4 linked regions of the Tamandua tetradactyla genome follow. The protein of the gene in region 1 binds, or shares a complex with, the protein of each later gene. Links are inferred from orthologs where the notes say so. Each region holds a gene or a part of one and is shown in the gene's direction. Other genes may lie near its edges.

The links.
Region 2: KAT7 (region 1) and JADE3 share a complex: the UniProt entries of both Homo sapiens proteins name them as parts of the HBO1 complex. The link is inferred for Tamandua tetradactyla from reciprocal best matches to the Homo sapiens genes KAT7 and JADE3.
Region 3: the proteins of KAT7 (region 1) and BRD1 are in contact, whole or in part, in a crystal structure (PDB 5GK9), measured with the Homo sapiens proteins. The link is inferred for Tamandua tetradactyla from reciprocal best matches to the Homo sapiens genes KAT7 and BRD1. Residues at the interface, in NP_008998.1 of Homo sapiens: Leu531, Phe534, Gly536, Lys537, Glu538, Ile539, Ser540, Ile541, Lys542, Pro552, Val553, Val556, Gln560, Leu565, Tyr567, Lys571, His572, Leu573, Val574, Leu575, Lys576; in XP_047297239.1 of Homo sapiens: Val40, Ile42, Glu43, Ile44, His49, Arg50, Ile51, Ser52, Ile53, Phe54, Asp55, Pro56, Leu57, Glu58, Ile59, Ile60, Leu61.
Region 4: KAT7 (region 1) and JADE2 share a complex: the UniProt entries of both Homo sapiens proteins name them as parts of the HBO1 complex. The link is inferred for Tamandua tetradactyla from reciprocal best matches to the Homo sapiens genes KAT7 and JADE2.

What each region holds. Positions count from the first base shown.
Region 1 is NC_135332.1:30,970,093-30,977,993, forward strand, and holds the start of KAT7 (histone acetyltransferase KAT7), read left to right. Parts: upstream 1-4,713; 5' UTR 4,714-4,826; coding exon 4,827-4,847; intron 4,848-6,244; coding exon 6,245-6,392; intron 6,393-7,901. UniProt on the Homo sapiens protein: Catalytic subunit of histone acetyltransferase HBO1 complexes, which specifically mediate acetylation of histone H3 at 'Lys-14' (H3K14ac), thereby regulating various processes, such as gene transcription, protein ubiquitination, immune regulation, stem cell pluripotent and self-renewal maintenance and embryonic development.
Region 2 is NC_135353.1:123,516,805-123,524,446, reverse strand, and holds the start of JADE3 (protein Jade-3), read left to right. Parts: upstream 1-4,399; 5' UTR 4,400-4,442; intron 4,443-4,547; exon of another isoform or gene 4,548-4,849; intron 4,850-7,642. UniProt on the Homo sapiens protein: Scaffold subunit of some HBO1 complexes, which have a histone H4 acetyltransferase activity.
Region 3 is NC_135333.1:44,965,068-44,972,340, reverse strand, and holds the start of BRD1 (bromodomain-containing protein 1), read left to right. Parts: upstream 1-4,149; 5' UTR 4,150-4,215; intron 4,216-4,697; 5' UTR 4,698-4,896; intron 4,897-7,273. UniProt on the Homo sapiens protein: Scaffold subunit of various histone acetyltransferase (HAT) complexes, such as the MOZ/MORF and HBO1 complexes, that acts as a regulator of hematopoiesis.
Region 4 is NC_135346.1:13,591,197-13,599,557, forward strand, and holds the start of JADE2 (E3 ubiquitin-protein ligase Jade-2), read left to right. Parts: upstream 1-5,117; 5' UTR 5,118-5,222; intron 5,223-5,486; exon of another isoform or gene 5,487-5,521; intron 5,522-5,546; exon of another isoform or gene 5,547-5,932; intron 5,933-6,725; exon of another isoform or gene 6,726-6,834; intron 6,835-6,852; exon of another isoform or gene 6,853-7,122; intron 7,123-7,425; exon of another isoform or gene 7,426-7,610; intron 7,611-8,361. UniProt on the Homo sapiens protein: Scaffold subunit of some HBO1 complexes, which have a histone H4 acetyltransferase activity. Acts as an E3 ubiquitin-protein ligase mediating the ubiquitination and subsequent proteasomal degradation of target protein histone demethylase KDM1A.

The sequences.
Region 1 (7,901 bases):
CCAGCCAGGCAAGGCTCCCAACCTCTCCGAACTATACTTTGTATTTGAAATATGTTACCCATCTTTTTACTTATAAAGGGAATGTTTTAAAGGAAATTGAGGGATCTTTTACTGAGCTTACAAATGTAATCGAAGAGATAAGACACAGATACAAGTAAGACAATACAATAGAACATACATAAAAGATGGACCCCCCCCCACCTCTGCTCTGTTCAATTTCTCCTCATCTCTGGCCAAGTTTATTACAGCAGTGTTCTAACTGGTGGCCCTGACTCTGTCTCTCTGACACATATCAGTCCCCCTCACAGCTGCCATAAGAGATCCCTAAAGTGCAAACCTGATTGTATGACTCCTCTGCTGAGAGTACTTCAGAGGTTCCCATCGCTTCCATAGTCCAGGCTCCTTGGCAGAGCATTCAAGGCTCTTCATGAACCGATTCCCAAAACCATTCTTGCTTCTTCTGTCAATCACCCCAAGCCCAGCAGGCCGTTAGTCACCCCCATGTCCCATGCTGCTACAAACCTCTGTACTTTTGTACGTACTGTTCCCTTTGCCTGGAAAGCCCACCTTCTCCCTGTCCACCGGCAAATTTATTCATCCTGGAATTTTCATTCCTGTTTTATCTCTTCTGTGAATCTTTTCCTACACCTTCCAGATAAACCCATCCATTTCCTCTTCCGTGGCACTTTTGAACTTTGCTCATCCTTCTCTTTTCCCAGATAATATGCTGTAGTGTTTTGGAACTATGAGCTTATTGATCTGTCTGTCCCAGAAGGATTCTAAGTCCTTTTAGGGGAAAGATGGTATAATGCCTGGGTTATCACTCCGGGTCTGTTGAATTGAACTGAGGTTGAACAGACAAAAGCAAAGAACCACTGGGACCATGAAAAGATATATTTACAAACATTAAGACATTATAGCCATGAATTATACATATCAATAACAACAGTTATTCATTGAACAGTGCTGTGCTAAGTGCTTTGCAACAATCATCTCTTTTAAGCCTAATAACAGCCCCGTGAGGTGGGAATTAATATTCCTGTTCACAGATGTGAAAACTGAGATATGGATCAATTAAAAATCTTGTGCAAAGAGCATCCAGAGAGAAAGGAACAGACCTGAGATTTAAATCCAGATGTGACATGAAAGTCCTATACTGGACACTAGTAGATCTGATGAATAAGTAAGAGTTACTGTTCTTATCTGTTTGAGAAAGGCAGTGAGGAATAAACCATCTACCAAATTGTATAAGGAAAAGTATAAATATTGCAGTAACTGCAAAATTGCATAGCACCATGACTTACTACCTTAAAAAGAATAAATCAGGAAAAACTTTTTATACATTTATTGTCCCCCCGAGGGGCGTGCACTGTTCCTGGAAATACTGCAATACCAGGTCGATGCATGGAGTGGACGGAGCAAGCTCCTATTCCATCTCCTAATTCCAAAAATCCATTTAATATATTGTCCTCGGATAGAGGACATATCAGATATAAAACTGATAAGAACAGATACTACACTTGATCTTAGCCAAAAGGCCGAGAAGCGATAGGAAAACTTTTTGAAGAAAGTAAATTTTAAGGTGTGTTGGGAGATGCATGTAGGTAGGAAGAAAAGCCTGTGTGAAAGGGTAAAGGCAGGAAGGACAGTGGAGAGTATCTATGTAAAGTCTGGTGGCTGAAGATGGGCAGGGAGCAAATGGTCTAAGGCCTTGAAACCAAGTAAGAGCTTATTATGTCCTTACTTTACTCAAAGTAAAAATACTTGGTCTAAAACAAAAAGAAAGAAAAATGTAAGATTCCCGCTCCTTCTCTTTAAATACACCTAGTTGGTATAATCTCATGTTAAGTACACATTCTTTCCCCCTTAGGAATGTTATTTCTATCCTATTGGTGTTAAGTTTTTCATCTTTCTGCCAGAATGTACACTTTCCAAGTACAAGAACCATGTTTAAACTGTGAACTCTTAAGTGTTGGCCGCATGCAGAGAATGCAGTTTAAGAGCTTTACTAACATTTAACAGTTGTCATATTGGTATTTGTATTAGGAATGGTTTAAGTCAGGATAAGATCTTTTTCTCCAATACCAGTTTCCAGGGAGGGTGACTTAAATCCTGCACATTCAGAGACTGGAGAATAGAGATGATACTTTGATTAGCTTGTATTTAGTGTGGGTAGAACACGGTCTAGGCATTATTAGAGGGGATGTCACAAAAGAATTGAGATATGCTTTTAACACAAGAGGTCATTACTACTAGGTGGGGAGCCAGAAGCCTCAAAAGTGAACTCAGCACAGAACATTAAGTGCAAAATAACAGCGTAACAGTGTGATAGCCAAGGCTTGATTGCTGAGAGGATACAAAGCAAGAAGAAATATGAGCCGTTTTCAAATAAGTTCTTCTATGCAGTTCAACCTAAGTAGGCTATTCAAAAGTACTTCTACTAATTATTAAAAGCTAAATATCAAATTACTAAATACTGAAAGTTGCCTTTGTCAACACTGGTCCAGGATATCTCCACAGAGAGTGCTGGCATAGGGTCGGGCATCTTAACTCTTCAGAATCCTCTGTTCAGCCACCAATCAGATGTTTGCCTTCTGCTGCTTTGTTCTTGAACTCTGCTCCTTGGGGGAAATCTTCATTTTAGTAGGCTCAGGTTGGAACCCGGGTCCAGGATCCTAACTTAAGCCTGTCTGGATTCCACCCAGCTGCTGTTAACAAAGTCTTGGTCTTCTCAAGGCTTTTTTTCCAGCGAGGTTACATCTTTGACCAACTTCTTCCTAGGCTCTCAAAGGAGGCCCTAATCATCATCATCACCATCGTTATTTAAATATCTATACCTTTTTAAACTCTAGCTCAAAAACATCCCTTCCTCTTCTCCCCTGACCCCAACTCCCGGCTCACGCTATCTGGATTTTCAGAATTCACTCGGGATAAATAGGTTCAATGGTTCTCCGACTCTAGCATGGCACCCCCACGTTTTCGCTACATTTTTCATCCCTGGCCACTCAGTACTCTGAAATCCATACAAAATGGGGGAAGGAGGGAGAAGTTCACCACAGGGCTAAAATGGAAATTCTTAGGAGCTACTGCTTCTGGAGAATAATTGCCTCCTCCCACCACCCGAACGACCAATTTACGTACTGTTCGCCAAGGGCAAGGGGAGTATCTCCTCTACCAAAAAGAAAACTTTCTGATGATAGAAGCTACCCTTTCGTTCATTTTATAAGCCGCCATTCCCTCCCCTATCGAGCCACAGGCTGGTTCTTAAAAGTTTCCTGTGCAAAATACCCCTTCTCAATTTTGAGTTTACATGCTAAACGGAAATATCTTTAGCCAATTAGGCAACGAAGGAGTTAAACTTCAACAACTTCATGGATTTTGGGGGTTTCCTTCTTCGTCGCCAGTAATTTAAAACGACCTGGAAGGGAAACTTTGCCCAAGATAAAGATGAAAACCTTTAACTTCAACTATCAAGTTTTTGCCGCAAACAAGAATAGCTAACCACGCCCACAAAGGCCGCCATTCACCTAAATAGCCCTGGTTTCTGCTACCAGTGTCTTTTCCTGCCCAATTCCAAAATGGCGCTCACTAGCCTCACCAAAGAGGGCGAACGCCACGCCCGCTTCCCAGCACCATCTCTGGCCTGAGCGCAAAGTGACGCGACCACAGCCGGAAGTGAAGGAAAAAGCGCCTCAGCCCGCGGCGCCTGCGCAGAAGACTCTCGACGCTGTGAGGCAGGAGGCACTTGGGATCGTCCGCAGGATTGGGACTGCTACAGAGGCCGCCACGGAGCCCGCCGGAGCCACCGTTCCTACTGCTGCTGCCGCCGCTGCCCGGATCGGAACCGTCGGGCCGCAGCCGCCGGCGATGCCGCGAAGAAAGGTGAGAAAAACGAGAGGGGAGGGATGGCGGGTTTCTGAGGACAGTCGATTGAGCAACGTGATGCAGCTAGCCACGCTTCACAGTGGTTGGGGACCAACTTCCTGCTCCCCCAACTTAGCTCAGCAACCCTCTCTTCCGTCTGTACTCGATAGAAGAATGTGGGCCCGACCCTGGCCTGGGCCTATGCTTGCTACTATTCCCGCCCTCTGCTTGGCTGGATCGGAGGCGTTCTGATCGCTAATTGGTTGTTGAAACATCGAGACGTATATTGATTGGCTGGTGATACCGCCCATTTGGATCCAACGGTCACCTCCCCGCGTGCGGGGGCGGTGTCTGGGCCCGGCCTTACCGCGCTCTAACTGGCTGTAGAGAACTATCCCTCTTCTCTTGATTGGCTGTACTTGGCAGTCTGTCCCGTGGGGGCGCAGTTTAGCAGGACCTCTATTGGGCGGCACGGGACCCCTCCCTTCTGGGTGGGGATGCTGATAGGTGTAGAGGCGGGGTTTTTAAGGCTTCCTTTCTTTCCGGGGTGGGGGGGGCGAGCGGGGGCGGTGACAACAAAGCAGAGGACTCGGTGCTGTGGAACCAGTGTCCGCTCTCAAGGGATCCATTCAGGCCTATTGAGTCTAAGTCTTAATTTTTCTTTATGTCTTTAGCTCAGCAGCGCCTAGAAAATGCAGTTTGTAAAAGCAGAAACTTTCTAGAATTAGAAGAGAGTTAAAGGATTACCTAGGAACCACCCCGTCTCTCTTTTTACAACTGAGCAAACGGAGGCCTAGTAGTAGTGTGCCCAAAACCACTCTTAAGTGAGTGCAATGGCAGAGCCAGGACTAAACAACAAATCTAATTTGGTTGAAGAAAGGTTTGACTGCTTGTTATTGGCTGGCTTGCTGGGGATTGGAAAACTACTTAGACAATCCCTAGTTTAAGGGACTCGCAGTCTCATGAGGAAAACATACAGAACGGTAAGACAGTCTATGCATTCTCTAAGTGGAGAAATATGTAATACAAGGGCAGTGGGAAGCAGTTAAATCTGCTCTGGAGTAAATGGGGAGTATATTGGTGAAAGCCTGGGTAAAGCTGGGAAGGAATGTTCAGAGGTGATCAGGGGTTGAAATATCTGGATAATTGAACTAGATGATCTTTAGGACTCTCCCTCCATCCATTCTGTGACTCTGTTCTGTGGCCTCCATTTCTGCACAGACTTTCAAATTAAAAATATGTATTATATTTAAGGTCTCCTAAGATGACCTAGAGTTGGTAGGTGGTATTTATCTTAAGGCTCACCAAATGCAGGAATAGTGTTGGTGCATTGGAATAGGTCCACCATCCCCCTTCTGCAATTCCCAAATACAAATATCTTTGGAAAATTTAAGTTTTATAGCAATTTATTTGGTGTCAAAATCTGTCTTAAACTGTCCAGCAGCTATTTATGTTTTTTATATATCGCATTTAGTGTTACTGTTTTCACATTTTGCTGCAGAAATATTAATATGCTTGATTATAGGCTTTATTTGTATGTGAAGTAGTCTCTTTCCAATAATCTAAGAAATAATGAATAGCAAACTCAGCTGGACCCAAGCATTTTGAATAAAGGATTAGGGATTTGTAGTTCAAAGCTCTGTATTTTAGTAAATATTCTCCTTTCTCTGATTAAAGGATATAGTGTTAGTGCTCAGTTGATAAAAATTATCTTTATGGCTATTCACTCCTGAGGAAGCTAATGATTGACGAATAATTTTTAGGAAAACATTATTTTAAAAATCTGTTTTTTAATATCCCCAACTTTTCACATGCAAGCTGCCTTTTCCAGTCCTTTTAGAGAAACCTTTACGGGGAGAGGACATAAGAAAGAGTTTCTTTCTTTTTCTCTTTCTCTGGAAGTTCTCTTGGTAACATAGTTGAGGACCATGATATTTTGAATTAGCACATGGTTTCTTAACATATGATAGCTGTTTGTGGAGATTTAGAACAAAGGTAACCTGAAGTCGAATGGATCTTAGCCAAACATTTTTCTTACTGATTTGGACTTTCCATGTGCATTGATACATCAGCCAGACCATTTTTGAGTTGGATACTTTTGTTATGCTTATCTCCAAATGGATTAGTTTCAGAATTAGTGATAATACAGTAAGAGTTAATTTTTTGTTTATTTAACAAAAGTACCTTATTTGTAGGTTACCTGTTTAAATGTTCTTAATAAAGGCTAGTTGACTCTAGGCTGGCGGAGGAATTGTATCTGGAATCCTTTCTGAGGTAGAGCTTGGTGTTTTCGGCATCATGGTTTGTTTTATTTCCACTGTTAACACGATCCTATAGTTTAAATACTTCTGTGCTAATGTCTGGATCTATGGTGTTACAGAGGAATGCAGGCAGTAGTTCAGATGGAACCGAAGATTCCGATTTTTCTACAGATCTCGAGCACACAGACAGTTCAGAGAGTGATGGCACCTCTCGGCGATCTGCCAGAGTCACCCGCTCCTCAGCCAGGCTGAGCCAGAGTTCTCAAGGTAAAAGGCTTTGTTCTCTCTGACCACTCACAGCTGACCATTGGTCAGTCTGTTATTGTGGTAGTTAATTTGGAAACTGGTCCCTTATCTTGGTATAGATGTCAGAAACTGGTGAAATGCAGAATGAATAACTGTATATGTATCAGGTCTTTAAAAATGGTTCTGTTGGGGGTGCCATCCAATTTGTAGACCCAAAGGAACTATGACATAACGTGACATGTTAGAGTGTGCCATGATGTATGTCATAAGTCATTTAATTTTTTTAGACTACAGTTTTCCCTTCAGTAAAATGGGAATATTACCGCTTCATTTTCTATCACAACAGTTTAGGTTTAGGGACTTAACATAGTATCTTTAATCTATAGTTGAAGGAGCCTAGTACTTCTGAAACCATATTTAGTTGTGAAATATAGTCAGATACACACTTAATAAATACAAATGTACCCAAACATCATTGTGTAAATACCCAGAATTTGGGGGGAATAGTAAAAAATCTAGACTCTCAGAGTTGGAAGGAAGTTTAGGTTCTTTAGTGCCATTAGCCATCTGTACTTGGATTTGGAAGGCACCCTTGACTTCTGCTTCTACTCTAGAATTCCCTGGGGAGGAAAGAAGGTTGAAATGTGCAAAGCTGATGATCGGTAGGAGATACAAGATTAAGAAAAGAAAAATTATAATATGCTTTGAGTGCTGATTTGATCATTGCTAAATGCATGTTGCAAAACAGAGAAAAACTTCAATTTTTCAAGCAAGAAAGAGGGAATATTTTCTCAACAGCTGTCTTTAATTTTTTATTTTTAAATTTAAGAGTTTAAAGAATAGCTGTCTTTGATTTTGCAACTTTTAAGTTTTTTTCTACAATGGCAGTATTGATAAATGCCTAGTATAATTCAAATACTATGCTATGTAGTAGGATGCAGTGATGGAAAAATTATGTTCTTGCCCTCAAGGTAGGGCAGCCAACTAAGAACAGGTCTCCCAGAATGAGATCTTAAAGGATCAAGTAGGAAATGATGGGCTTGGTGTTCTAGGCAAAGGGAACAGCATTTTGCAAAGGAAGAGGCATAGGATTCTTAGAAGATGTCAGTGGTCATGCCCTGGACATCTGAAAGTTGTAAATACTTGAAACAGCTAGAAAATGTATGAGGTCTGGGTCTCTTTCTAGTTACTGTACTTCATTACTAGGGAATTGCTTGACTCCTAGGGGTTGCATTTGCAGTGTAATTTTTGTAAGGTGGCCTTCTCTAAGGCAAAACATAGACTACATTGAGAATGGAGCCCCTTGGAGGTGTACAAACTGACAAACTTTCTGAGTGCTAGCTTTATTCATCTCAAAGTTTGAGAGTTCCGGTTCTCTTCTTTGGAGAATCTGTAAGATTTATGTATTAGGAAATTTGTTTAAAATGTGACTTAATTTTTGCTTTGTATTTCTTTTATTTCATGATCAGTTGGAGAAGTAAAGCCTACTGTGTGCTTCAGAATAGGTTTTGTCATTCAAAAGTATTTAAA
Region 2 (7,642 bases), on another chromosome or scaffold:
GTTGTATAAATATTGAAGAAATTGGATTGGTGATTTAAAATGTCTTGAAAAAGATATCTCCAGGCCCAGATGGCTCCACTGGAGAACTCTACCAAAACATTTAAAGAATTGACACCAATTTGACATGATCTCTTCCAGAATATCAAAAAAGAGGGATCACTTCTGTGTCAGGGCCCCTAAAACCACCCCCAGGTTTAATGATTAACTAGGAGGACTCACAGGACTCAACACATGGCTATGGTTTATTACAGTGAAAGGATACAGAGCACTATTAGCAAAGGGAAAAGACACATGGGGTGAAGTCCAGAAGAAACCATTGACAATATTTCAAGAGTTGTCTCTCAGTGGAATCATGCAGGATGTACTTAATTCCTTCAGCAACAAGTTTTGACAACACATGTGAAATGTTGTCTACTATGGAAGCTTATTAGAGACACAGTGCCCCAGGTTCTTACTGGGGGTTGGTTATACAGGCACCCTCTGCCTAGCATTTACCAAAATTTCAGACTCCCAGAAGGAAAGCAGCCATTCAGCATAAACCATACTATTTGCACAAATAATTTAGGCACAGCGAGCCACTCTTATCCGTTCAGGGAATGGTGCAAACCCTCCTGAAATCCAAGTGCCCAGATACCAGCCAAGGGCCTGCTATGTGAACTCTTTTCTGTGCAACTTCCCAACTCATGTTATGAGGCCAGAATTATCTTAATACCAAAATCAGACCAAAATAGTACAGAAAACAAAAACAAAAACAGCCACAGACTTTTATTTCTCATGAACTTCGACATAAAAATCTGCAACAAAATATTAGCGATGTAGAAGTCAGCAAGGTATAAAAGGAATTACACAATGGCCAAGTGGGGTTTATTCTGGGTATGCAAGGTTGGTTCAAAAATCAATGTTCAATAAATGCTACCTACCATAGCCACAAGCTAAACAAGAAAAATTATATATGATTATATTGATAAATGCAGAAAAAGCTTTTGACAAATTTCAGCACTCATTCATGATAAAAACTCTCAGCATTCTAGGAATATTGGGTGCTTTCTCAACTTGATAAAGAGCATCTACAAAAATCCTACAGCTAATATCATATTTAATGGTGAAAGACTGAACGCTTTCCCCCTAAGATCAGGAGCAGGGCAAGGATGTCCACTCTCATCACTCTTATCCAACATAGTACAGAAAGTTATAGCCAGCATAATAAGGCAACAAAAGGAAACATAAGGCATACAGATTGAAAAGAAAGACATAAAACTGTCCCTATTTTCACAGACTACGATTGTCTAAGTAGAAAACGCCTACAACCAATAACTGAGTTCACCAAGATCATAGGATAAAAGAGTAATACAAAAAATTGAAAGCAATTCTATATACTAATAATGAACAAGGAACGTGAAGTTGAAATTAAAAACACAATATCATTTAAATTGTGCTAAAGAAAATGAAATACTTACATGTACACTTAACAAAACATGTACAGGTTCTGTATGTTGAAAATTCCAAAATGCTGATGAAAGAATTCAAAGATCTAAATAAATGGAGAGATATATCACATTCATGGATTCAAAGACTCAATATAGTAAAGAAGTCAGTTGCCCCCAAATTGATCTATAGGTTTAACACAGTTCCTAACAAAATCACAGAAAGATGTTTTGTAGGTATAGACAAGCTTTATCCAAAACTTATATGGATAGGCAAATGACCTTGAATGGCTAAAACAATTCTGAAAAGGAATAAAGTGGTGGGAATCATTCTACCTATATTAAGGCTTACTTTATAGCTATGCTATTCAAGACTCTGCTATTCACAGAGAGACAGACACATAGATCTGTGAAACAGAATAGAGAATGCAGAAATAGGCAAACACAAATATGCCCAGCTGATGTTTATAAAGGTACAAAAGAAATTCAATGGAGGAAAGATAGTAATTTTAACAAATGATATTGGAGTCATCAGACACCCACAGCTAAAAATGTGAACCTTGACCTTATGTTCACATTTTATTCAAAAATTAAATTTTAAAAATGAATCATGTAAAATGTAAAACTACACATAAGATAAAATCTTCCAGACTTGGGCTAGGCAAAGATTTCTTAGACTTGCTACCAAAAGTACAACGCATAAATGTAAAAATTGATAAATTGGACTTCATCAAAGTTAAAAACTTTTGGTCTGCAAAATACTTGTTGAAAGGATGAAAGGACCAGCTACACAGTGGGAAAAAATATTCACAAATCACTTATCTGACAGAAGATTTGTATTGAGGATATATAAAGAATTCTCAAAATGTAACAGTAAAAACCAAATAATCCAATTAGAAAATGGGCAAAAGGCACGAACAGACATTTTCTCAAAGAGGATATACAGATGCAAATAAACATAAATAAAGATGTTCAATATCATTAGCCATTAGGGAAATGCAATTTAAGACCACAATGAGATATCACTACACATCTATTAAATGGTTAAAATAAAAATATAGTGATAATATCAAATACTGACAAAGATGTAAAATAACTGGATCTCTAATGCATTGCTGGTAGAAATGTAAAATGGTACATCCAGTCTGGAAAATAATTTAGCAGCTTCTTATGCTAGTTTAACACTAAACATATAGCTACCATATTACCTAGCCATTACATCCTTGGGTATCACTAAATACATAGCTACCATATGACCTAGCTATTATATCCTTGGGTATATGCCCTGGAGAAATGGAAACTTAAGCTCACACAAAAACCTCTATATGAATGTTTATAGCAGCTTTATTCTTAATAGCCAAAAGTTGGAAACAACCTAAATGTCCTTCAAAGGATGAATGGTTAAACAAATTATGGTATATTCATAGTATGGAATATTACTCAGCAATAAAAATGAATGAACTACTGATATATGCAATAATTTGGGTGATCTCAAGTGACTATTGCTGAGGGACAACAACTAATCTTAAAAGTTTATATAGTGTATGATTCCATTTATGTAATGTTGTTCCATAGAGATGGAGAATATGTTATGGATTGCCAGGGGTTAGAAGGAGGGAAGAGGGTGACTGTGATTACGAAGGGACTGCAGGAGGAAACTTTGTGGTGGAGGGACAGTTGATTGTGGTGGTTATACGAATCTATATATGTGAGAACACATACATAGAACTATATACACAAATACAGAAATAAGTGCATGTAAAACTGGTGAAATCTGAATAAGTTCTTTGGATTGTACCAATGTCAATATCCTGGTTTTGATATTGTACTATAGTTATGTAAGATGTCACCATTGGGGGAAATTGGATAAAATGTTCAAAGGACCTCTGTGTAGTATTTTTTGCAACTTCCTGTAAATATGTAATTATTTCAAAATAAGTACAATAGAATGAGGTTAAGTCTGAAGTATTTTACAACTTACACTTTTGTATATCATGAAACACTTTTGTCTTTAATATGGAAAACAAACAAAATATCAAAGAGCCTATATTATTGTTTATCCTAGAAATGCAAATGGGAAAATGGCTATATGAGTTCATTGCAACTGCACATGGTATACTTCCAAACCCAGATAGGTAAATTTAAAAGATTGGTTGTTGAAACATCTGTATGTCTGCATTTAACCAGAGAAGCAAAAATACATAGGTTTTATATACAATGCATTAATGTTTTTATGTATAAATGTATGCATTTATTACAAACTATTGGCTCAAAGTATAGTGGGGGCTGATTAAGCAAATCCAAAATCTGTAGAGTAGTCCATCGGTCAGATAGGAGAGATCGTGAGCAGGCTAGAACCCACGGGCACAGGCCAAAGCTGTTCAGCATACGGCGGAATTTCTCTCCAATATTCTCTGAAATGTCAGCCTTGCTTTTAAGGCCTTCCAACTGATTCAGTCAGGCTCACCCAGATCATTCCGGATAATCTAACTTTAATTCGTCTGATTAAGTGCTTTAATTATATCTGCCAAATACCTTTACAATAACACCTAGATCAGTGTTGGAATGAATAATTTGAGGTTACAGTCTTGCCAAGCAGACACACAAAAAGCCACACAACACCATAAATCATTAGTGCCTGCAATGGGATAAATGAAGTCTGTTAACAGCCATTATGATTTTGTTATTATAGCTAATTAAAGTACAAATAACCTAAATCAATGGCGGCTGATCACGACTTTGAGCTATGAGAGTTCCACTTACAGAACTTTAGAGTTAGAAGGGGCCACAAAGAGTTTAGCTTGTATTTCAACACAGCCAAGTCACCTCCACCTCGTCCCCTCTGGCTTTTAGTCTGGCTGGAGCTCCTCCCCGAAGCAGCACGCCCAGCAGGAGGGGTGAAGAACCCACCTGAAGGACAAGTGTCGCGAGTGCAGGAGCGTTGGGTGGGCGGAGCTTTGAGACCCTCTGCGCAGGCGACGGCGCCCGCCCGCCAGAAGAGCGCGCGGCCAGGAGACGGTAGGGAGCCTGTTGGGGAGGGCAAGCGCGGCCGGTGGGGGGTGGGAGGAGGAAGGAAGGGGAAGAGGCGGAGCGTGGGAGCGCACAGTGTCAGGAATACAATAGTGCTGCGCGCCGCCTCGGCCGCCGCCACCGTCGCCCAACCGCAAGCTGCCCAGCGCTGAGGCCTGACGGGCCGGGTTGACGAGGGCCGAGGGCGGGAGTTGAGTTGCGGGGGGCTGGCCCTAGCGGATCAGGCGGCCGGGGCTGAGGGGCGGGGGTAGGGAGGGATTGGGGGCAGGTGCGAGGGAGGAGAGAGAAGAAAGCAAGCGGGTAGGGGGGCGGTTACCATCCCTACCAGACTCGCCCGGCACATTGCCGGGCCCTACCGTGGAGACGGGAAGGAGCCGCGACCCCGCTGAGCGAAGGTAGGCGCCACCGAGGCCAGCTGCGGGGCTAGCAGGGTTGCGGGGCGTCGCGCCGACAGAGGGAGCGGTGGCCTCAGGGAGTCGCAGCGGGCGGCGCGGGCGCAACGTCCCAGCCCTGCCTCGCTACGTTTCGGGCCGCTTCGGCCCCACACCGCAGTCCCCTCCCGCGTGCCCGGCGCCCTCGCCCGAGAGCGTGAGTGGGCAGAGTTGGATTCCCGGAGGTCTTTCCCGGGCTAGGCAGTGCCTGGTGGCCCGCGCGGGGGACGCGGAGGGCGGACGCTCGAGGTCGGCAGCCTGTCTTGGCTCCAACCGGGCAGGAATTGAGCGCCATAACTATTGCGGCTGTTTTCTCAGGTGCTTCTTCCCGGTGCTTCCCCGCCCCGGTCCTCTGCTGGGTTTTGAGGTTTGCGGGGTCAAATCCGCGGCTGCACGGATCTGCTCCGCGGGCCGCCTGGGGCGGGATGCTCTGAGGAGAGAGGGCGTGCCCTGGCTGGTTAGATACTGAGGTGAATGTGGGGGGCGGGAAGAACCGAATGCCTAGAGAGGGGAAGACCAGTGGTGCCGGGGAGCAGCGAGGCCGCTGGTGGGCCCCAGTGCCCACCGAGCGCGAGGGCGGGCACCCCGCGGGCTCGCGAACTTTCCCTCCCCCTCAGGTCATTGTTCGGACGCTGCCAGTCGGCTGCCGCCGAGTGCTGGGCGGTCGTGGGAATGGGAAAATCCTGAGGGCTTTCCAACTCTTACCAGAAATTTCTCCCTTGTCTGGGCACGGCAAAGTTAACTTTTTTCTTAAGCCATCAACTTGGTTTTAGTCCCTACGCCTTGGGGGCAATCTGTGTATGTGTGTGTAGAGATAGATTGATTTGGCTCTCTCCAGTCTTTTTCTCCTGCTTTTCAAAAACGCTGCTTCGGGAAGTCTGACTTTAAATTGCACAGGATAACCTGCGTTTATTATTTGTGAGGAGGAAAAAGGGGCGGGATCTCGAATGAGTGACCACTGGTGGTTCTGTGAAGGCCTGTTTAAAAGTTGATATCGTCGGGTAGCCCTGGGGCATGTAGCTCCTAGGCAAGAAACTTGTTTAGTGGGAGCTACTCTGACATTTTAAGTTGAAAGGAAATCCATGGTCTCAGGTATGCGTGAGATTTTGTTATTATTTTTATTGTGAGATCCGTTTATGAAGCTGAAGCTGAGGCTGAGATCCGCCCCCGCCCTCATTGTAAAACCGTGTTGATGATGATTCCAGTGGCCAGGAGGGAAAAGTGATCTCATTCCCTGTACTCAGTCTGATACAGATAGCTGTCTGCTTCTCTGTAAACTCTTGAAATTAATGAAAAATAATTTAGGTAAAAAATGATTGCACAACATCTTGGCTTAGTTTAAGCAGCCTGAGAATCCACTTTCTCAGAGTAGTTAGGTCTTAAATATCTTCCCTGCAGCCACTTCTTGTCAGCCGGGAAAGGGGAGAGTTGTTAAGAGAGGAGTCCGCCTGAGTAAAGTATTGGAGTTTTTATTTAGTTTAATACTTTAATAAGATCTGTAAACAATGGAAATGTGAATCCCAGCTTTTGCACCCCTTGAATATTGTAGTTCTCATGCTTTTGTAGCATCATGTGATTACTCTGCGTAAGTGAGAATAGGTGCGTTTTTAAAGTTTTTTTTAGCCCAGGACTATTCAACCTTCGTGACATATTTTCTTTCTCATTTAAAATGGGGTCTAAGCTTAAATACTTAAACTGTAAAAGATTAATACATCTCTTCAAGGGGTGAGAGGATTACATGAGATCTTAGGGAAGCACTTCTTAAAGCCCAGCACGTATTAAGTTCTCAATCAAATGTTAGCTACCATCATTGCCACATTCTCTACAACTGTGATCTTCATAGTTTTGTTTGCTAAATAGAAGAGCCTTTAATGCAATATTGTCACCTTGAAATAGTTCCTTCATGCTCTGTCCAATGAATTCTGGAATACTCAGGGGTGCAGCTCTGGTTCTAGAATTCATGCTTTCTTTCTCCCCATTTTTGTGAGTCATGTTGCAGTGTCTTGGCAATGTGAAATAAATGCCTTCTTGATCACAGGTAGGGGAAAGTGGAGAAACGGCTTCCCAGCTCCTCCCTGAAGTGTTGGTGATGAGCTGAGAGCCAGCAGTGACTTGGAAGCAACCTTGGGGAAGCCTCTGATGACCTTCTATAGAGGAGATTAACCCTGTGGACTGTAGAGGACGTTATCAGGAACAGGACAGGTGATGGTGCAGGGCTTTCATCATAGTCGAGAAGTGTGGGTTGGCAAGAGTTAAAATACAAAGCAAAGGATGTTGAAATGGGAGGCTTGTAGACTGAGCATGATCCACTGCTTATCTTTTCCCTCCCTTGTGTTGTACCAACTATAAAGACCCATTTCTTTCCTAAGCTACACAAAGCTATCTCTTCTTTTTGTCCATTACTATGAGGTCTGGTTGGAACTGGGCATGCATTTTTTGAGGAGAGATGGAGGTGGCAAAAGGGGTCGGATGTTCTTGAAACCATGGCATTACAAAAGACCCTTAAAAGTCTTATTCCAGGGTGCAGAGATAAGGGCCAAAAAGGAGATTGAACATTATCATAGGGCATAATCCATGTACCTCCTCATGGAGCTAACATGACATGGTAGCTGAGGAAGATAAAGGTCATATACTGAATTACACATTAAGAAACTCTCTTATTAGGGGATAATTTACTATAACCTTTACTAGGTGAGGAGTGGGTATTATGTGACACCTATTTGGAGCTTTCCTGAAATGTCTAATATGGGGGCACTT
Region 3 (7,273 bases), on another chromosome or scaffold:
ACCCACAGAGGGCCTGGGGTGTACCACCTGCTGACTCTATTCTGGCGGAGAGGACCAATTTCCACAGAATCTCTTCTCGTGGCTAGTGTTCCATGAGAAGAAACGAGTCAGCAGAAAACATCTGCCTCATCTCTGAGGGTTAGTAAGAAAACTACCACTTAAAGAATGCTTCACAGCAGTTTGCAAATTATAGAGACAGATCCAGGAGAGAAAGAGCATTTGTTATTTCTGCTGGAAAATGGACCCTTAAAAACTAACACCAGCATGTCCACGCCTGTCTTCCTACCCTTGGAGAGCCCAGCTTTGGGCCCCTGGACCCAGTGTGAATGCACAGGCGTAGGCATGGGAAGGCGACGTGCCCCGGGCCAAGACTTTGGCAGGTGCCGTGGCTGGTGCTTTTGGGGTCAAGCTTTGGTTCTCGCCAGGGAGACTGACCAGGCCACTCGCTGCGGGAAATGCGTCACGAAACATGCAAAGGGGAGCCCAGGATGAACCCGATGGTGTTGGACTAGAGTTGGAGGGGTCAGGACACACTCAAGGTTTGTTGATGGGTATCAAAACAGATGGGTGTGCGTCTGCGTGTGCACGCACCTCCGGACAGCTGTTTCCCAGCTTTCTTCCGAGGGCAAATAGAACCATACTTCCGTCTCCTGTGGCTTGTTTCTTGCATGCAGCATCGTGTGACTGAGATTCAGCTTTGCGGCACCAGAGGTTTCAATTAATTTCTCCCTCTATTTATTTCTCCATAACAAATTTACTATCCATGGACATTTGAGTCCCTGCACCCCTTCCACATTTTTGCTATTAAACTCTGTGCTGCTGTGAATATTCACGTACACATTGCTTGGAGTGGACTGTGCCTAGGAATGTACGCTGGCCTAATGCTCGCTGGTAGTGGGTGTGCACGTTGTGGTGGCTTGCATTTTCCCAAAGTGGCCCCACAATTTCTCCTCTTAAAATGTGTGACTCTGACACTTCTCCAATGAGAAGGGTCTGTCCCCCCTGCTTCTGGAATTGCACAGGATTGTGACTATGGCAGAATTGACGTTAGGTGACTTTTGAGGCCAGCTCACGAGACGTAAGACAGTCCCCACCTGGCTATCTTTGGAGCCCTGTTCTTAGAACCCAGCCGCCGTCCCATGAGGGAACCCCACTAGTGCACAAAGAGGAGCACTGCAGGGGAACTGAGGCCCGTAGCCTAAAGCCACAACCGGCCTACCTGCCATGGGAGCGGCTCCCCAAGCCCAGGTAAAGTCCCCCTGGCATGTTCTAGCACATCTGCGAGCAGAACAGGTGATGGTTGTTTCCAGCTGTGAAGCATTGGGGGCAGTTTGTTTTGCCCCCAAAGATACACATATGTTCAACTTCACCAGATAATGCGATGTTATTTGCCAAGGTAATTGTACCAGTTGATGCTCAGGCCAGCACTTTTCTGTTGCCCCATCTTCTTGCCAACTCTGAGTATTGTCAGACTATAACATCTGTGCACATTTAGTGTGGTTTTAGTTTGCATTTCCAAAATTACTAGTGATGTTATTGGCAGTTTCAATTTTCTTCTCTGCAAGAAGCCCGGTTATGGGCTTTGTCCATTATTCTAGTGGGTTGTTTTTTTCTAGTGGCTTTGAAAGCACTCTTTATATATTCTGGATACTAATCTTTTGCAAGGTACGTTCTCCAGTTTTTCAATTTTTGCTCTTCATTCTCTTTATGTGTCTTTTGAGGAATGAAAGTTGTATTACATTCTATCCTTTTATTTTCAATAATTTTTTTCAGGTGTATCTCTTGAAAACAGCATTTAACTATCTTATATCCTAGAGTCTGAATCTTTTAATGGATGAATTTAGTCCAAGCACATTTCAATGATTACTTATATATTTGGATTCCTCCTGTCACTTTATGTTATATTCATTATTTACTATGCTTTTGGGTTTTTTTTCTTTTTGTTGGCTCTGTCCCTTTTTCTTCATCTCACTTTCTCCTCAGCACTTATTTAGAAGCTATAAATCCTATTTCTATTTTTTAAGTAGAAATTTCCTAATATACATTTTGTCTTTTTCCCTATAATTTAAAAATCTTCCAACCAAATAATACAAGAATCTTGATGCACTTTCACTTCTCCCTTCCACCCCTTTTTGCCAGATGTCATGTCTAATTCATCTGGGATTTTCCCCTCATGTTGTTACTTGATTTTCTTTGAATAATTCAAACCACTTCTTTTCTGGCAACCACTTCTTACTCTTGCCTTCTCTTTTCATTTTGCTAAAGTACATCCTTTAGTAGTTTTTTTGGGCTTGGTGGTTGGTAAACTGGATGCTTACGGGTCTGTGAAAACACCTTCGCAGATATTGACAACTGCTCTTTCGTGACTTCAGTCTGATTACCTCTAAAGGAGACCCTTTCCCTCTGAAGGCTTTTGAGCTATGCTCTTTATTCTTGGAATTCCAGCATGTCCCCATGGCATGTGTGTCTTTTTTCTTTCCTCTTCCTAGGCATTGCTTCTGCCCTGAGCCACATGTCTCTGGTTTGGGGAGGAAGAACTCCATGTCTTTTCCTCTTCTCTTTCATGCAACTGGCCCTCGCTTTTGCTCTATGGGGTGGGCACTCCTCTAGGTTTTCTGGTTTGTCTGAGGTGGGCAAGGGGGCCTGGAGCAGGAGCAGGAAGAGTTTGGGTCCAGCTGCCTGGGCACAGCTGGCCTGAGACTAACCCATTCCTAGAGCAGAGGCCACACTGTCCCCCACCATTGCCCAACGGCATGGCCAGAGGAAGCACGGCTGACCTTGAAGGTCCTGACCCCCTCCAGGCCTTTGCTTCCCAAGGGGACACTGGATGCCCTGGGCTGCATGAACTGGCCAGCAGATGGCCTGTCGGTGGACAAGGTCTCCCCAGTCCCACCATAGGCATTTGGTGGAGGTCCCGGGCAGTGGACGCTGCCCTGCCTACCATGTGGAGGAAGATCTGCCAGCCCAGGGGTCCCTGTGCCCCCAAGAGGACTCTTTTGCTGCCACCAGCTGGGTCCCCACACTCAGCCAGTTAATCTTCACAGGTAGCCAAGGAACCATCCGGCCACTCCCTGTATCACAGCATTTTGGGAATTTGGGGTTAAAAATTATCCAGAGGTCATTCAATTTCAGAGTTTAAACAACAGGTCAAGGGGAAGTAACCTGATAGGAGAGCATGATTGGGGTCTCTGAACTTCTGCCTCAGAGGGCCCTTTTCTCAAAAATCTTAAAATGGCATCTGTTTTACCAGGATCCCAGGTGGGTGTCCAGCTCCCTAACCACCCCCCCCACACCAGGCCTCTAATGCTCTAAAGAGGACCTCCAGCCCAGCTAGCCCCCACATCTGCTAGGCACCCTCCCAGCGCTTTGTGCAGACCCCTCCCCAGCGCTCCCTCAGATATCACCCTCCCGGGTCTGCACCCTCAGGACCCCCACTCCACCAGCCTCCCTCCCCCCATGGCCCACCCAGCACCCTTTCAGGCCCGCTGGCAGCCTTCTCTCCTACCCAGCACTCCCTTGGGACCCCCTCCTCTGGTCTCCCTCCAGCCCCTCCGTGGCAACCCCTCAGGTTCCCCCCATCCTCCGACACCCCCCCACTCCCTTAGTTCCCCTCCCTCACCCCGTCACGTCCCCTCTCCCAATCCCCCCTCTGTACCCCTTTAAGTCTCCTTTCCTGGTTCTCCCCTCAGCCTCCGCGCGGCACCCCCTAAGTCTCTACCCGCCGCCCGCCCTCCAGCCCGGCGCCCCGGCGGTCCCTCCTCCGGCTGCCCCTCCCCGCGGCCCGGCCAAGGCGGCGGAGCCCGCGCGCGTCATGGCGGCGGCCGGGGCGGGGCGCGTCGGGCACGCAGCGCGCCGGGCGGAGCGCTCGCCGCATTGTTTGCTTCGCTGGGGAGCGAGCGAGCGGCCCGGCCCGGGCGTCCGTGCCAGCCCCGCGCCCCCCGCTGCCGCCGCCGCCGCCCCGGCCGGGTCTCCCCCGCCGGCCTTCCTCGCCGGCCTCCGCCGCGCGAGCCTCCTTCCGAGAGCCCGCGGCCACCGCGGCCGGGCCCGGAGTCGCCGGCGCCGAGAGGGAGCCCGCGCCCAGGAGCGGCGGCGGGGCCGGGCCTGCGCGGCCGTTGGCGGAGGAGCCGCGGGCGCCATTAGCGCCGCCTCGGCCGCGCCGGCTCCCCGTGCTCGCCCGCTCGCCCGCCGGGCTCCCGCGGCTGCGGCGCCCCGAAGGTGAGTGTGCTGGGGGTCCCCGGCCGGGCTGTGTCTGACGCCGCCGCCGCCTTCACTCGCGGGCCGCCCGGGCCGCCGCCGCCCTGGGCCGCGGCCTGTCGCCGGCTTGTGGAGCGGACGCCATGTTTGGCGGCGGCGGCGCGCATTGTCCGCGGGCGGGCTGGGGGCGGCGGGCCGGGCCTGTCAGCCGGGGCCGCGCTCGCTGGTCGGCCGTGGCGGGGATGGAGGGGCCCAAGCCTGCGCTACCGCGCTGGGGGCTCCGTGCGGCGGCGCGGAGGAGGCCTGGGCGGGTCGCGGCGCCGTGCCGGGGAGTGCCTGGAGCCCAGGCCCCGCAGGTCTCCGGGTGAGGCCGGCCCGGGCTCTGCGCCCCGCCTCAGCCCGCGTTGGGCCCGGCACACTGCACGAAGCTGTCGGCCGCTGCCTCCTCAGCGTGCTGGATCGCGTTATGTAACAGATACACTCTGTTTGTTTTGCCGAGACAGGAAACTCCCTGTTCACAGGGACGTACTGTAAAGATTCCCCAACGAGAGACGTTGGCGGACCTCTGCGACTTCCCGGGTGGAGAGGCAACCCCGGGCCGGCGGGCGCCGTGGCGCCTCCTTCCTGCGGATCCGGCCCGGGATGAAATGAACGCGCCTCCCAGCAGGCCTGGTCTTTTTCTTAAGGAGTAACTCTGCTGAGGTATAATTTACACACATACAAGTGTTGTTCGGGTGCCGTGGTCCTGACAAGTGAATCCACATTCACATCATCACCGCCCCACCCAAGAATGTGCCCCTTGCCCCACAAAGCACCCTCCTGCCTGGGTTTAAGTCTTTGTCATTGCTTAAAATATGAACTAGGAGTTATGGCATTGTGTATTTACCTGGCTCACCACTTACTCTTCCCACAACCTGGCCAAGCATAAGCTCTTCCTGTACCTACTTTATGATAGAGGCTGCAGAGTCCTGGAGAGTTTCAATGACTTGTCCACAGCCAGACAGGAAATGAAACTAATTACAAAACCCCCAAGCAAATCACTGCTTTGGAGTGACTCTCTTCTGGCCCTTGTGGCTTTCCAGGACGTGTGCATTTAGCACACTCATTTCCCTGGAAACACACCGGCTGCCCTTGCTGTCCCTTTTTCCTTGTACAGCCCTGGGAATGGGGAGAGGCTGCCGGCTGACCAGGGCTTAGGGAGATGCCAAGTACCCCGGTCACCCTGTGTCCGATGCTGCCAATGAATGCCCATCTCACCCTCTGTAATGCCTTGGGCTAGAACTGCTCTGACTGTTGAGTCAGTGGCTAAGCTCTCCTGGTAGGAAGGGGTCAGATGAAGAGCTCTGAGACCTGTTGAGAGAGTTCAGGTTTTGAAGACCTTGTACTTAGAGTTGCTTTGTGCTTTGCTGTAGAGGAGAAAATTATATGTTTGTTTTGAATCTGGTGAGTAACCAACTGTTGCTTCTGCCCCACCTCAGTAATGAGCGTGTGTGGCTCTCCCAGAGTGCTGGAGGGCGCCTGCCGTGAAGGCGGTGGCACTGGGCTGGGGGCCACGCCCAGCCCGCCTCGGAAGGTGTCTGCCTGCTATTGGAGGTGTGGGGCCCTGGTTTGCACAGGGCTGGAGCAGCTTTGCTGACAGCTCAGCAGGAATTCAGGTTTCAGTGAGCCCCAGAGGTCCCTGAGATATGCGGGCTAGTGGGGGTTTTCCCTACCATGGTGTCTGCATAGGGAATTCCAGTCTGATTTCAACCACAAGCTGTAGGTTTTTTCCTAAGAAGTGTACATAGGCTCTGCTGGGATGTCCCTATAGGAGCTAAGAATGTCTAAGTATAGAGTGAATCTCTTCTTTGTGGGCTTTTCTTGGAGTACAACTCGGGTGACCCAGAGGCTGTGAATTAGGGCTCTGCAGGCTGCCCTTGGACCTCCTGACAGGGCAGGGCTAGATGCTGTGCTGGGGCCTCTCCAACTTGGAACACTTGTTTGAAACACTTGTTTGTAAGCCCTGAATTTATAAAAGTAATCTTGTTTCCTTTGTGTGAAATGTAGCTGTTTCCCAGGGACAGTCAGGCTTCTTCCTTGTTGTTGGACGAGAGTGCCTCTGGGGCTGTGATCTGGTCGCAAGGGTGGCCTAGTGTTAGGTCCTCAAGGAACAAGGGGCCAGGCCCCTGTAAGTGGTACGCGGTGAAACTGATGCAGTGGTGACAGGCCTACTGCTCTCAGCCACAGAAACTGGCAGCTCTGGAGGGCAGCATGCTGGCTTTGCCGATCTTTGAGAAGAGCAAATTCTCAAACCTCTGCAGCAGAGCTTTCAGGCCCTGGAGCCAGCACCAGCCTTGTAGTGTAGAGACTTCAGTGCGGTCTCTGCCAGCAGGGTTCTCTGGGAGTCAGCCCTGCTGAGGAGCCAAGCAGAAGGCAGAGATGTCCATACCTGGGTTTCTTCCAGAAAGAGGGAGAGGACACAGGCTGGCGTAGCAGCATTCAGGCCACCTATGGCAGAAGGCACCTTGGGGTGGGGTGGTCATCGTGGAGGCCCCATGGAGGCTATGCTGGGGCTCTCCTTTTCCATTCCAGCACGGTGTGCATGGGGATATGCGTCTGGCCAGAAACTCCCAGTAGGTAGCTGTCCCCCTTTACCTTGTTAGCATGAAGGGCTTGTGAGTTCTTGGGTGTACTTTTGCTCCCCCGGGGGCTGTCCCGGGCAGTCGTGGGGGAAGGGATGAGTTGGCAGGGAGGGGCCCCTGGAGACCCTGAGGACCAAGTAGCCACTGAGATGGTGCACCTTGAGACCGTGGCCCCTGTACCTGTGGGATCCCAGCCCACAGTAGAATTGTCCTAACTGGCCCCCTGGGCCAACTGGCCGTGGGGTCTAGACCCGAGTCGTCGTCCTGGTCTTGGCTGCCTATTGACTTGGCCTACATGAAGTGGGGTGGGCAAGAACTGTCCCAGCCTCTTGGAGGGCTTCTCATAGCAGATGCCCTCTGCAGAGCTGTGGCATCTGGGCTGTTCCTTGCTTCTGCCTCTCCTGGCACTATTGCCCTTTCCTTCTGGTCCTGGGGAGACTCTTGGGCCTGGGGTGAAT
Region 4 (8,361 bases), on another chromosome or scaffold:
CACTGACTAGGTGTGGGAGGGCAGCAAGGACTGGATCCCAGATATAGGAGACAGAAGGAAGCGTGAGCAAACCTCAGTTGTACCTGTGCAATCAATATGTCTTCAGATTGCTTCTCTAATTCCACCCTTCCCCTTCAGGATTCCCAGGAATTCCCTGGGAACCCTAAGGTTAGGGCAAGTGTTGTGACCCAATTTTCCTAACTGTTCAAACCTGTGCTATTTCAAGTGTGAGCAGTGGACCAGTAGCATCAGCATCATCTTGGAGCTTGTTAGAAATGCAGATTCTCAGGCCCCACCCCAGACCCACTATATCATAATCTGTACTTTAACGAGATCCCAGGTGAGGTATCTGCATGCCACCACTAGACAGGCACTGCCTTAAGCAGCCAACAAGTGAACATGGACGGGGAATCCGAATGCCGAATGAGGACTTCCCACCTGGCGCACTCAGTAAATATTCAGCGAATGAATATTAACCAAATCTCATGTGGGTTTCTCCATTTAGGGTGCTCAGGATATGCTGGACCTGTGCCTCTGGACACACACATCGAGCTGTTTGAAAGGCTTTTTGTTCCTCACAAGGGCTCCTGGAGGAGTGGCTATTGTCTACTGAGGGCCAGACCAGTGCTCAGTACCGTGTGGGCATGCTCTCAGTGTTTTACAAAGTGTGGTTCAAGGCCTAGGGCATCAAGAATGACCAGCTGCTGGTTAAAAATGCAGATTCCTGGGCCCTGCTCTGGACCTACCCCTTGAGAACCTTTGAAGATGAGATCCAGCAATCTGCATTTTAAACAAGCATCCCAGACAATTATTTCCAGTAATTTGGAAATGGTTGCATCTCTAGCTTACAGAAGAGGAAACCAAAGCACAGAGAGGTTAAGTAACTCATGCAAAGTCACAGAGCTGGTGAATGACAGAGACCAGATTCCAACCCAGGACTTCCTGGCCCTGGAATTCAGTCTTAAACGTAATGCCTACTACACTGGAAAAGCTGATGCCCAGACAGACTGTATATAATTAGCCCTATGCATTGCCTTGTGTGTATTTCAGGTGTCAAAGAGGTTTGGTAGACTGTGAACTCCTGTGAACTCTTGCAAGTCAGTGAATGTGTTTTATTTCTCACTGTATCCGTGGCATCCAGCACCGAGCCACCATGGGGAAGATCCTCAACAAAAGCTGTTTGAATTGAATTTCTACAGATTTTTGGTTATCCATCTTTACACACATTCACAAAGATATATACAAATGAAGGGCATTTTATTTTTAGGTAGCATCTTGGAACTAGCTAGTAACAAGTATAAACCTCCCCACTCTCTTGAACTCACTCCAATCAAGCTTTCGTCTGCACCACTCCACTGACACGACTCTTGTCAAGGTCACCAATGACATCCGCGTTGCTGAATCCGGTGAATTCTCAACCTTTCTCTTTCTGACTGCTTTGTAGCTTTGAACATAGGGCTTTCCTCCCTTTTGAAACTCTCTTTTCACTAGGACTTCCAGGACATCATATTCTTTGGACTTTCTTCCTAGCGATCTGGATGCTTTTTTAAAAAAAAAAACAAAACACAAAAACATCTTTGCTGATTCCTCGTCATTTCCCAGACCTCTTAACCTTGCAGTGTCCAAAGGCATCATCGCTGGGCTTCTTCTCTGTCTACCCTCACTTCTTTGGTGATCTCAGATAGCATGAAATACCATCCATCTGCTGACCACTCTCTTTAGCCCTGAGCTGAGACTGCCCGGTCTAGCTGTCTATGGAATGGCAGCACTTAAATGCTAACAGGCATCTCAATCTTAACATGTCCAAGGCTGAGCTCTTCAGCCTCCCCCCAAAGCCTACTCCTTTCACATCTCCCCCATATCAGTTCACGGCAACTCGATTCTTCCACTGGTTCAAGGCAAAACCCTTGAAGTCATCTTCAACTTCTTTCCCTCTCTCATACCCCACAGCTAATCCATCAGTAAATCTTGATAGAGTTACCTTTAAAATACATACAGATGTCAACTTCTTATCACTTTCACTGCTACCCCCTGATGATCCATCTTAAGCACATCTCTTACCTGGTGTGTTGAAGTGACCTCTTAACTGGTCTTCCTGCCAATATCCTGGCCCCTTCGGTCTGTCTGCTACACAGCAGCCAGAGTGACCTGTAAAACCCAGTACCTCAGGTCATGTCGCTGTTCTGCTTAAAACTCTCCAGTGCTTCCTGTCTCAATTCCAGCAAAAAGCTAAATTCCTAACCACTCCCTACAAGGCCCTAGATAACTCTTCCTTATGCATATTAAGCACCTTAATGCCTCGGGGCATTTGTGTTTGCTGGTCTCTTTGCAGTGACAGTGGTTCTCAACCATCTTTGGTGCCATGGACTCCTCCTCTGGCTTCTGTGAAGGCTGTGGACAACTGAGTACAATAATTGTTAATCCTTACAATAAGTTACATAAATTACAAAGAAAATCAATTATATTGAAAATCACTCTCAAAATATTTTTAAATGTACTATATAGTAATACATACGCTTCTTAATTCATTTAAATTACAAGACATAGCAGCCTAATTTTGAAATAGCGGTGAGTGTAATGATATTTTCAGATAGCCGCAACAACTGTAATGTGATATAAAAATATCTGATTTCTACTAGCAACAGCGTCACAGTTGCTAACACCACTGTGATTTGTTTCTGAATTCATAATTGAAAATTATGCTAAATTACATTTTTTTCCCATCTAAGGTCAAGAACCCCTGAATTTTATCCAGAGATCTCTTAAAGGACTTCTTAGACCTCTTAAGAATCCAGGTTAAGAACCCCTGACTAGAATGATCTTTCCCCATTAACCCTTACTGCTCACTCCTTTACCTTCTTTTGCTCAAAAGCCACATCTCAGTGAGGTCTCCCTAAGGAACTGCTATCTCCCTATCACCCAATTCTACTTAATTTTCTCCATGGCACCTACCTTCAAACACAGAGTATATACATTATGTATCTCCTTCCACTAGAAAGTAAGTCCCATGAGATCAGAGCAAGGATTTTTATCTGTCTGTTTTGTTCGTGCCGTGTGCCCTCAGCAAGCAGAAGAGTACCGGGCGTACGGGAGGCACTCAATAAATATATGTGAGTCAACAAATGATTACATCTCCAAGAACTCTGTTTCTTTTCTTTTCGTATTCTGCAAAGTTAATGATTTATGAAACTTTTAATAAAGATTAAGTAGTTATAAATTAGCTTCATCATTATCATTATGTTAACATTTCTAAGGTTAATGAGAACCCAAGGGTCCTGATGGGATTTCCAGACTTAAACCACAGGTATCTCCCAAGGACCCTTCACGGGATGGAGGGCTCACCCAAGCTTAGAGAACCACCTCAGGGTCAAAATGCAGCCAGTAAAATCCTGCTCTCTTTGCCAAATCAGGCCTCAACCGGAGTCAAACCAATCATACCAGTACTTTCTATTTCTGGCAGGGTAGTAAAATGAGAGCCGCACAGATCTTGGGGTCAGGTAGATCTAGGTGCCAATTCTGCCAACACTTACAAGCCATGGGACCGTTGGTAAGTTACTACACCTTGGTGAACAGCTAAGAAGGGGGGTTTGCCAGCACAAAGCAGGCGCTCTAGAAATGGTGACCCCCTCCTCTAGGTCATTTTATAATTGCCTACTAAGGTATTTCCCCATTTTAGATCATGGGATCCTGACACCTGGGAGCAGACAGCCTGACTTGTCCTCTCCTACATACAAATCCTTCGGAGCCAGGCCCAAGCAGAGCAGATCCCCGGGACTGGGCTGCTGTAAATTGGTGACCCCCAACTCCAGTGTGGCTGAGAGTGCTGCCTGGACCTTGACCATCAAGGCCACTGTCCATTATGTTTTTTTATCCTGGCCCTCCCTTTTGTGTGTTGACAGAAATAATCGTCCCCCAGTTTTTCAGAGTTAAGAGTTTTGGGAGAGCACATTAACCTTTCCAAACAGCATACAGTAGATGGGGGAGTGGGCTGCTTACTGCACACGTGTGCTCTGAGCCAGGCCCTGTTTACCTGCATGTGCCTGCACATGTACACACACACACGTCCAAATGCACATGTACACACACACGTCCACACGGACGTATGACCTCAGGAACCCACAACTGCCCCCTTCTACAGATGAAGAAGAAGAGAACTAGAAAGATGAACTCACTTGCCCATACCACACAGCTTCTGAGAGGCAGAGCCAGGACTAGAATCCAAGAATTTAACCATTTTGTTACTGCACCACAGCCCATGACACCTGTTTTGCAGGCCCTGACCTAGGCTTGGGAAAATCCTATCCACTGATCATGGAGAGCCAGAGCCAGGTGATGGTTAGTCCACCTGCCCCTAGTCTTGCCGGATAAGCTCCCGCACCTCCCACACCCCATCTTGTGAATGAAGGCCAAGGAGGAGAAGTGTTGCAGGGACTCCCTTTGAGATCATAGTTCTTTCTGGTTGCAAAAAGTGCTTATTTCAGCATTTTTAATCATCTCCCTCTTTGTTGTGTAAACAATCCTCTCTGTCAGAGGATTTGTGCTGTTATTACGAGTTTGTTTATTATTAGATTTATTTCTCCTATAAGCAAATGTGTTCACAATATTCCATCGGGGAATCTTCTTAATTGTCACATAAATGTCATGTTATGTAAATTGAATATTTATCTTTCCTTGGAAGGGGGTGGAGGGGAAAGAAAGAATAAACAATCTTCAGTCTTGGAGAGATAAGGTGGTTCCTGAGCCACTTCTCAGTTTACCCTGGTGCCATAGGTGAACTGCCAAAGGTGAACCGGGAAAAAAAAAAGATTGGATCATCTCTGAGGGGCTGCCAAGAAGGACGTGGGATGGGGGGGGGGGAAGAAAAAGTTGGCAGTGATGCTTTGGAGATGTTGGCCCCAGCTCCTAGGTCTCCCTCCTCCTCTGCCCTGCCCAAGGCCACACCACAGACTACCTCGTCCACGGCTGTGGGCATCCGCGGGAGGATGCAACTGCCCCCACCCCACCTCCCTAGTGCCCATCCCGGAGGCCAACCTTTCTCCTTCCTCGAGAGAAGGTGAGCGCGGCGGGCGCAGCGGCCCGGGTGGGTGTGGCCCGCGGCTCCGGGATCGGCCCCCAGGCCCCGCCACCGCCCCGCAGCCGCCCGCCAGCCCGCCTGCCCGGCGATCGCAGGCTCTTCTTCCAGAAACTGCGAGGATCCGAGCGCACTGTTTGTGCACCACAAGGTCAAGTCGGGAACTGGAGCCGGAGGAGGAGGGGCGAGGAGGCGAAGGGTGGGGAGAGGGGCGCCCTGCTTCCTCGCCAAGTGCCAGCCCTTGGAAGTTGCCCCTCGTTTTTTAACCCTTTCGGAGCCTCGGGGAACGGGGTGGTGAACTAGGGAGACGGGGTTACTCCGGGGCAAATGCAAACTCCCACGGGGGTCAGGATGTGCAGCCACCCACCCACCCATCACCGCCTTCCCCACCCCACCCCACCCCCCGGAAATGCGGGGCAGCGCCGGGCGCCAGGAGACACCCGAGCGGGGGTAAGGGGCGGCGAGCCGGCGAGGGACCCTCTCTACCGACCGCCCCTCCTTTTTTTGAGGTCGCCTACAATTTCAAGTTTCCCCCCGCCGGGGACGTTAGTTTCCATCTGGCGTGGGTGGGGGAGGAGGGCCGCGCCCCCTCCCCCAGACTCGCGCGCGCCCCTCCCCTCCGCTCCTGCTAGCACTTTCTGCTCACTTCTAGCGCTGGGCTGGGAAACGCCACGCGATTTATTCAATTCGCATTTTAAAACCAGTGATTCCAGAGTAAGGCCTAGGGCGAGGGGCTTCTAGCGCTGGAGCCCTGGGGGGCGGGTGCTCAGTGCAAACCTCGTTCCCTCCGCGAGCGTCGCCTCCAGGCTGTTATTTGCGAAGAAACGTCTTTTTGACGCAGGGAGAAATGGCAAATTTTAAGTACGTCATTAATATGGCGCCAAAAGATTTTTTTAAGTATAAGCTTGCTTCTTTTTTTTTTTTAAGGTTGCGGGGGGCGCCGCCCGGGTCTGGGGAGCGAAGGGGGCGGGGTGTGAGCAGAAAGTGTGAGTGAGAGAGTGGAGGGGCGGAGTATGTGTGTGAGTGTGTGAAGTGTGAGCAGACCTGATGGGACTTGCACGGGCGCAGCCGCCGCTCAGGCCCGGCCCTGGGGACAGGGCGGGCTGGGGGCGCCCCCGAGCCGGTGGGGAGCCCGAGCCCGGGGTGTCGGTAGGCGGGCGGCTCGACAGGGCACCCTCCCTGCGGGGCCCGCAACGCTACCTGGATGCACCGCGGGAGCCAAACAACTGGGTGTGGGGGGGTACGGGGGGGGGGGGTGTCGGACGACAGGAGTGTCAAGAGCGGAGATCGGAGTGAATAAGAAAAAAAGTGGCTACTCCCCCACCCTCGCTCCTCCCGCCCGCCCCTACCCCCACCCCCACCCCCACCTCAACACATTTTTTTTTTTTTCTAAAGAGATCACAAGGAAGTCTTGGTTTAAAAAGAAACAGAAACATACACAGGGGGTTGGTAAATGGTGCCGACCGCGGCCATCGCAGTTGGAGGCTATTTGGAGGTGGTGGGGGGAAGCGAGTAGCGTCCATGGAGTTACTTTGCGCCCACTCCTAGCCGCGCCCGCTGGGGTCTCGCGGGTTGATCGTCCGTGGCTGGGGAGGCCGCGGGCCCGGCTCCCTCCCTCGCCGCGACCCCGGATGGATGCGCGCCCCCCGCCCTTCCGCGCCGGCCCCAGGAGCTCCGGGTTTCGGGAGCATCCTTTCCGCGCCGGCCCCCGCTGTGGCGCGTAGCCGAGGGCAGCGCCCCTCGGGAGGGCACAGCGGAGCAAGGTAAGATCCACCCTCCAGTGGAAGGGCCCTGCGCATCTCTACGGCATTATTTTGTGTTTTTGCAACAGATCTGCCAGCGCTTCTCGCTCCCTCGCTCTCTCTTGCTCACTCGCTCCCTCTCCTGCTGGCTGCCTGTTCTAGGAAGCCAGCGCCGGGGGGCGGGGGGTAGGGGGGGTGGTGAGATGCACAGCACTGGGGAGAGAGATTGCGCATGTTGGTCAGTCGTGTTTTAAAGAGTACAGTGCGGGGAGGCTGAGAGGGGCGCATGCAACAACAACTTTTGGAAGGGTGAGCTTGGCGACCTTCTTTATTAATGACTGCGGCAAAGCGCCCCCGGACCGGCGAGGGGGCGCGGGCGGGCGGGGGCGCGCCGGTGCTGCAACTTGCCCCGCGGCTCGGGCCGGGAGCAGGGGCTGCGGTGGGTAAAGGGTGCGGGGGTGGGGGGCGGCTGTCGACTGCCCCCCGGGGGGGGGGGGCGCTGCTCAGGACCTGGAGCTATCTGCCCTCCTGTCGCCCCGAGTTTCATTTTGTTGATACGCAGCACGTCCGGGCGCCGAACCGGGCTGAGCTGGTGCACATGACCCCGCACTGGGCTCACGTGCAGCTAGTCCGGCCCCAGACACCTTCCGGAGGCCACCGCCTCCGCTCTCTCGCCCCCTCTCCGGGCTGGGTGCACGCGGGAGCTGCACGCGGGGGCAGCATGCTTGGCTCCCGGGCGCCGAGGCTCTGCACAAATTAAGACAGTTTTTTGGATATGCGGGAGACGCTCTTTCCAGGTGAGTGGGGGGAAGTGCACGGCCCCGGCGCCGAGGCGCGGGCTGGAGTTGGGGGCAACCACCCCTCCGGGGCTGCGCGGGAGTCCGGCGGGGTAGAGGCGCTGGGAGAGTGGAAATGTACCGGCGGCTGCTGGGGCGGCGGGTGCGCGCCCGCGGGGCGACGGCAGGGGGCGTGGCCGTTGTTTACCTTCTCCCAACTCTGCCGGTTCGCGTCCCGCTCCGGGGACGGCTCCGCAGTCCCTCTGCTCTCCGCCTCCCCCCCGGCGCCCAGGGTGGTACCGGGAAGATGTAGGCGCGTGGCGGCCCCTGCCTGGGACGCACACACCTGACCCCCACATGAGTGACATTGCAGCCCCCGCCCCCACCAAAACCGCTGCAGTCCCTCTGCCGGATCACCGGCCCCGCCCCGCCCCCGGCAGTGGCATCTTCCCAGCCTCACCTCCTTCCTCCCTTTCTCCCTCCCTCCTTCCCACCCACTCGCCTGCGCCTGCGGAGCGGCTCCCGCCCGCCTCCTCCCCTCCTGGGTGCAGACTTGTGGCTCCCTCCGGTCCCTTCCCGCCCATACTGGGCCCTGAGACACCCCCTTCTCTCGGCCGAGGGATGGGAGGCGGGGGGCTGCCTGGCGAGGCGTAGTTGTTCTGCCAGACGATGGGGATGTCTGCGAGATGGGCAGGAAGGCTCCGCTCGAGCTTCCAGAGGCCCAGGACCCACCCCCTCCCCGAACCTTACCACCTCTCCTGTATACAGCTGC